Drosophila melanogaster: one gene and its partner. The gene in region 2 interacts genetically with the main gene of each other region. Each region holds a gene or a part of one and is shown on either strand. Other genes may lie near its edges.

Evidence for each region. A genetic interaction does not mean that the proteins touch.
Region 1: of tsh (region 2) and Dfd, changing one enhances a phenotype caused by changing the other (phenotypic enhancement), as found in Drosophila melanogaster (one study listed by BioGRID).

Annotation. Positions count from the first base shown.
Region 1 is NT_033777.3:6,789,836-6,793,435, reverse strand, and holds the start of Dfd (deformed), read right to left. Parts: upstream 1,601-3,600; 5' UTR 1,112-1,600; coding exon 325-1,111; intron 1-324. UniProt on the Drosophila melanogaster protein: Sequence-specific transcription factor which is part of a developmental regulatory system that provides cells with specific positional identities on the anterior-posterior axis. Homeotic protein controlling Drosophila head development.
Region 2 is NT_033779.5:21,826,604-21,830,567, reverse strand, and holds the start of tsh (teashirt), read right to left. Parts: upstream 1,976-3,964; 5' UTR 763-1,975; coding exon 710-762; intron 1-709. UniProt on the Drosophila melanogaster protein: Homeotic protein that acts downstream of Arm in the Wg cascade during embryogenesis to determine segment identity throughout the entire trunk.

The sequences.
Region 1 (3,600 bases), on a different chromosome or scaffold from region 2:
TGAAGGGCTTATATATGTACAAAATATTAGATCTTTTTTAATATTACTATGCGGCATAACAATCTTGTGGGCTTATTTTAAGTGTTTTTCTCAATCTGCTCCCTAGACATTTTAAAAGGTTTGGATATACGAATGTAAAATGACTTTGCTATGGAATTGATATATAAATAAAAAAAATAATTATATAAATATAAATATAAATATATATTTAATATAAGGATCGATTGATAATCTTCAGATTATTGAAATAGTACTAAGTATATCCTCCTATCAAATCTCAACGGATTCCAAGAGACAACAGAAATTCTATTAGTATGGACTCACCTAATTCCTGCAGTCCCAGCGCCGTGTTCGTCGGTGGTTCCGTGGAGCTGCACTGAAGGGGCAGATCCATCATCTGGGAGTGCGGCGAGTGTCCTTGGGAGTGGGTGCTGCCCACACTTCCGTTCGCCGTCCCATAACCCCCACCGTACCCGCCGTAATATCCATTTGCCGATCCACCCACTGCGCCACCTCCGAGCACTGCGCCACTTCCTCCGCCACCACCGCCATTGCTCGTATTTGGAACGTTTGCCGCCGGTCCGTATCCGTTCGTGGGATCGGAGTGCACCGCTCCTGCGGATATGAATTCGGGGGCGTGGTGGACGTAATAGCCGAGGCTCTGGTGCGGATGGGCGTGTGGATGCGAGTGCGGATGTGAGGGCGGAGTGGCATTGGCATAATTGGAACTGTAACCGCCGGCGGATGCCTGGTGGTGTCCAGATATTGCACTGTTGCTATGGTGGTGCGGTAGTGAGTGGGTGTGCGAATGGGAGTGGCTGTGCGGATTGTGGTGATGCGCCATATAGTCACTGACCATGTCCGCCGGGTGCATGGAATGCGGATGACCAGTCATCCCACCTGCTCCACCACCTCCGACAGACCCAACACCTGCACCACCGCCGACGGCACCACTCATATGACCCGTAGATGCGGTCATCGAATAGTGTCCATTGTAGTGATGATAGTCATCGGCCAACGGCGGAAACTTTGGGTCCAAGCCATTGCCCATGGACATGGGACTCTGGACATGATGTGGTGCATGCGGATAACCCATGAGAAAAGAGCTCATGACGGAAGGTCTGTTGGATCGGGGTTCACCGGATGCGTTTTCCTGGTTATTACTTTGTTATTCGATTTTTTCTTGGGCACTATCACTTGGATTGCACATACTCCGAACCTTTTGCTTTTAGTACATTAACTATTGATTAAAGGCGCTGCTTTTGCAAGTAGTAATTACTTTTAAGATTGTGTTGGTTAAAATAAATTTCGTATTCTTTTTAATATTTTTAACTAAACAAAGGGGTTAGAAGGCTCCCGTTGTCTTCATAATTTTCACTTTTATTGTTTTGATTATACTTTGTTTGCACTTTTTTGTCACTTTTAAAAGCCGTGGGGCCTTGGAATTCTGAGAAACTTGATTATGGTGTTATTTTCCGGTTATAAAAAACGTTTTTACAACGAATTTCAATCCCACACAGGGAGAAAAGTCGGACGTTTCGGTCTTACGAGTGCGCTGCGAACACGAACCGTCCCATTCGAGCCGATTTTTTGTTATGCTCGCTGGCGATAACTCTCCGTGCGAGCGAACCTGTTTCGCCACTCTTCGCTCTTGTTTGCTTGTGCTCTCGCTCGCTCTCTCTCACCGCCATTGCCATCAAAACGGGTTTTCACTGCCGAAGCAATCGAAGGACGGCCCACACACGCGCACAAATAAAGCCATTCATATGTAGCAGCCATGTCTGTTCACCTTTTCTCACCCTTCGCCTCGTACGCCATTTTCCACCACTGACCATAGTTCTCTCGCAAGCGCGACTGAGAGGGAGCATTGTGGTTAAAGCGGGATGGCCAGATCTTTGGTCACACCCATTTTGAGTTGCGTGAACAGTCAAGGCATACAATATTGAACTAGTTCAAAGAAGTATTCTTAAAAAAAAAAAATAAAAAGCCATTAATTAAAACTTTAAAATATAATTTTACTTTTACTGTACAGTGTATATATTTTTTTTATATTTTAGTAACGTCTTATTTATTTTTTTACGAAATAAGCTTATTTTACTTTCCAAGGATTAATAAATTGAAATGACAGTAAATCGAATAGAAAATTAAAAACGCAATTGTCTACATAGAGAAATAGGATTTCTGAATTGATTCAATGTTATATTTATATCTCAAACAGCACTGTTTAGCTCATTAGCACACCTACTTACCTACCCTCGACTGTTCTTCCCTCAGACTTACTATTTTGGTTGTACTTTTGCTGTGAGTGTGCTGGTACCTTCAAAGTCATGGCGCACGCTCGAAAATTGAACTCGACGAAAAAGTTGTCTGGACCCAAGAAACTCCGCCCATTTTCAGAAGGCTTTCATCGATCCCGGACAAGACGTAAGTGTGGATATGGAGCACACCATTTATTTTCCACTTTCATAAATGGATTCTGTAGGAACGATGCAGAGAACGCGTGGGTAACAACAGTATTGATCGTAAAGAGGGGACGGTACTATTGGATGCCGATTTCTTCGTCTGAATTCAGCTACCGAGTTGGAGAGTCCGAGCTGACTTGCAACAATTTCAATTGAACAACCAACGAATATCACTTTGTTCTCCTCTGTGATTATTGTTGTGGTCTGGCTGGGGCTAAGGCTGTTATTATTGTTGTCATTACTACCGTGATTTTTCCTCCGATGTTGTTGTTATGGCGATGACGGGCACATATTCAAATGGAGCAAGCGAAACGTGGAAAATCAATAGAATGATTGTTGTATAATGCACATCGAGAAGGTTGGATATTTAATGCTTTAATATTGTTTTTAGTAAATATTTAGACTGATTCATAACAATCCATAATGTGGGTAAAAGAAAATATGGCTTGTACTTTTAAATTCGTACTTCGAGCAATGCGGAATATTAACAATTTATTTATAGGTAATATCATACAAACTTTTGATTATTTCGCTTAATGAATTCAACAGATTTTAAATTTTTGTGATATATATTTTAATAAGTTTGAAATCTGCTGACCCTATAGAGCCAGCTGCCCTAACTCACTTCAAATAAAAGTTAAATTGAGCATAAATTCGTGTCACACTTCTGGAGTGTGTTTCTGAAAGTGACTCTGGCTAATTGCCGAATAATTGGACCTCCGGTAAACCCACCAAAAATATCTTAACCCCCTTACAATCAGGTCCACGTGCTGTGCCACCTCCTTCACCAGTTCCATATGTGAGCGGTATAGGGGCATGGCCACTAATTAATCGACTTCCAACTGATTCGATTTTGATGGTCACCATCAAAACGTCATTAGGCTAGTTAAGTTTATAAAACTTAAATTTAGTCTGTGGTCCGTCGGCCAGACTCATAGGAGTAAATGTTGGTTTAGGTCTTCATTCCACGTTAAAGTGTTCGAATTAATTGACCAGCTAGTGTTAATTAATGGAAGTTCCATGTTTACTAATTTTACTGTGTGATTCATTACGCATATTTGTTTACAAATAACTTTGGTCCAAATCCAAAAATATAATTGCTTTTAAATTACATTATTATATTTCTCGAAAATTTAAA
Region 2 (3,964 bases):
ATCGAACTATGGCGATTTTTCTGTTATTTTCGGATTTCCCCTGCCAGCCACCCTTTTCAAATCAAGTTCTGCTTTTCCCGATCCGAGGGTCTGGACTCGTAGTCGTGAACTCAGTACTCTTGGTTCTGCGGGTGGGTGTTGTGATATATGGGCGCGCTATTGGCGAGGCGCTGAATTTATAACGACAGGTGTGCGACTACGCCGAACCGCCAATGCCAATCATCAAATGCCATGAAATCATAGTTTCTTGATATATTTATTTGGCCGATTTGTGGTTGAGAGTCTGCAATACTATTTCAACAAGTTCGGCTATCAGTTCACAATGACAATGGTTTTTGATTTTGATTGAAAACGTTCTATATTCAATATATGTCGTATATACTTGGTATATATAATATTCTATTTAACCAGATACTTGAACGCACATAAAAAGCAATTGCAAAAAAATAATATTAACTGAATGAGATGAATGTAATTATTTTATATGTGAATATTTTGAGTATGGCCACTTTTAGTTAAGAATTCAATATTTCACTATTTCATAATGAAAAACACTTTGATGCACTTTGGTAGTAAAATCTCAGTTCGTTTATCCTTCATACCCAGAGTAGTCACATTTTTGAATCCCCCGAATAAGGCCATGTGAATCTTTTTCTTAATTCTACATCTTTCACTGTTCTATGGAAATAATCTTCCATATAACACTTACCCGGCATTTAGCGCCTGTCTGTAGATCTCGAGCATCAGAGCCTCGTGTAACATTTTTAAATTTTGCTGAATTTTGACGGTTTGCTGGAACTTGGATGGTTTGCTCTTTTTGGAGCAAACAACGAGGATTTTAGTTGGATTTTGGAACTTAACTTTAGTTTGACACAATGATCATATAATCTATTGTTTTGCACTTGGTACGTTGTAGTATAACTTGTTGTTGTTGCAGCGTATAACTGATTAATTTATATTTTTTGGATTTTGTAATTTATAAACTTTCGTATGTCAGACAAAAAATGACGTTTCGAGGCGTTTGTATTTTTAATTCCTAATTTGTGTTGATTTAAATTTAATTTATTAATTGCATTGAATCGTATACTTCGTTAAGGTTTGTTGATTTAAGTAACTGGCTTTACATTATGTATGTAGTGTAATTTTGGTGAATTAAATACCGTTTAATGTAAATATTTGCAATAGTTTATCTTTAGTTTTGGTAATAAATATATTTTTGTGGTATATTTTGTTTAGCTTGTGGTAGTTTTACGTATACTTTGTTGAACCATTTGTAGTTGTATGTTTCTCGTATGTTTCAGTCTTGATCGAGCATTTGCGTTCGAGAGTATCAAACCTCTGCTTCTTTGACTAGATATGATGGCGGCCTGGAAAACACTCGTTCTATCCTCCCCCAAAAACGCGTTTTAAACTGAGAATTCACTGTTCTGGCGGAACCGCGGGTCGCGATGCGTGCGTCTTCTCATCCGGATTCGTCGTCACTACTCGAACGAAAGTCCAAAGGCGATTGAATCCCGCTGGCCGGGTTCCTTCGTCACTAGCCTCTGCTGCGGTGCTCTGCCGGTGCGCTGCTGCTGCGCTGCCGTCGCTGTCAAGCTGACAAACAACAACAACGGGGCGCTGCTGCTCTGCCTTCACTGATTGATACGGATGAAAAAATGAAGCGACGCGACGGACGCGCAGCGATTGGAAGCTGCGCTGCTGTTGACGAGCAAACACGAAGCCCGCGTTTTGGCGACGGCAATTTCTGATTCGATTTTGCGTTCTGGCGACGGCTGCGCACTTGTGTGTGTGTTGTGTGTGCCGTGTGTGCCACCCACACCCTTGCAGGACAAGCTGGCTGTCAGCGTGATTAAATGTGCTACTCTCTCGCTCGCACTCGCCGGCACTCGGCTAACTAATTACCGTACGATTTTTCCAAGTGCGCCGAGCTTTTTCGCACGATCGTACGCAGTAACGGTTTCTTGTCGACTGACTGACTCTTGGCGAAAAGAACCCGAAACCGATGGGTAGCCAAAAGAGAGCGCGAGAGAGAAGAGAGAGAGAGAGCGACAAGAGCGCAGACTTTCCCCTGTGCTGGCAAGTGAACGCTTGGAACTGAAACAGGGGAAATCGCTAGGGAAAGAGATAGCGTTGTGGGACCGCTCCGTCTCGCTTGCTCCGAAAGTGTGTGAAATCTGTTTTGTCGTTTCGTCACCCTTCTTTTGTCCTATTCCGAATCCGATTCCATCACAATTAAGATTTATGACAGTTTAACAAAAATGCTCTCACTCGCATGCGCCGTCCTGCTCGCAGCCACTCAAACTGTGTCGGTCCCTGCTCTGTTTTTATTTCTTTTCAAAATAAACAGTAGTTGTTGCTCTCTGAGCTTTTCGCCCTCGTCACTTTTAGCCTCTTCCCTCTCGCTCACCTTCCTTCATACCCTCTGCTGTCAACTTTTGTTCGCCTTTCTGCAGCTTCTTCGTGGATCTCGCTTCTTTTGTTTCGTTGCATTGCTGTGCGAGCGAGTAGGAGAGTGAAAAAGTGGAAAAGTGGTTTGGGGCAATTTTCACTTGAAATCAACCCATTCCACTTTTCTTTTTGGCTGCGAAAACAATTGAATTAGCGACACTCCGGCCGTTCTTTCCTCTGAAAATGTGCCAAAATGCCGCGATTTTATTAGTTTTCATGGCAAGGTGTCAATGTTTGTGAATGCGTGAATGTAAGGCTGTGTAAGAACATTGATGTACATATGAAAGTATAAAGCCGAATGAAGTACAAATTTGGTTTAATAAGTGCCTTTATACAGTCTAAAAGATGACAGCATTGAATACTATTTAAATACTAGTATCATTAATACTCAAGATCACGTCTAATAAGTGCATCTACAATATTTTTCTTTGTGCCGACCCTGGTTACCTTAAGTTTATATATTGCATGTACTTTTTCACATAAATTGACAAACGTATAAAATAGTAACTTTCGATACATTATAATACATTACATTATAAAACATTATATACATTATTCTATAAAATTATCAACCGGTAACCGAGCATTGCCTTGATTCCTATGCATATTTACGGAGACGACTACTGAATCAAAATTTAGTTGCGAGGAGTCCACGAAAGGTGCCCCTACTTAGCCCAAGGCATTTTAAGCCAAGGTTAAACTTCGCTAAAACCCACCTAAACTGGCCAGTCTCCAAATGGCGTAATATCCCCTGGACTGATGTGTTAAAAATAGTGCTATTTGGTGGAACTGGTTCATATGGTTATATCTGACGACCTCCAAACACCGAGTACCACCCAAAACACCCACTGAAGACTTTCAATCACGGTGGACCTGCAATACTGGTATGGGCTTGTTTATTTTTTACAATGGTATGAGTCCATAACATATGATTTATGGTATTATAGACCAAAACGCATGTGTAAATATACTAAGGGATGTCTTACTGTCATATTCTTATTATAATATGCCCTTAAAATGGAAATTCCAACAGAATAATGATCCGAATGGCAGAAGCAAATCGGTTAAGAAAAGGTTCACCCAAAATAGAATAGATGCAATGCCGTGGCAAGCACCATCTTCCGATTTAATCCCGATTGAAAACCTGTGGGGGGACATTATACAATATGTGACGAATAATTCCCCGACGTCTAAGGCTCAGATTTGGCAAGTTGTGCAGGATGCATTGGCAAAAATTCCCCCCAAACGTTGCCAGGACCTGGTGGACTCCAAGCCGCGTAGGTGGTGGCTAACAGAGGCTATCCAACACATTAATAAGAAAAACTGTTAGTTTTAAGTCAAATTGAATTTTGTTAATATTTTTTTATTGCACTGCTCTTTCAGTGAACACCAGAATATCTGCCTATTATGTTGTTTTGATCTATATTTTAGAAAACTATTAAAGAAATAAGTGTGAAATTTTTGTTGAATTGTTGGAAATTAAATACCTAATGATATTATAAAAAAAAGCCCA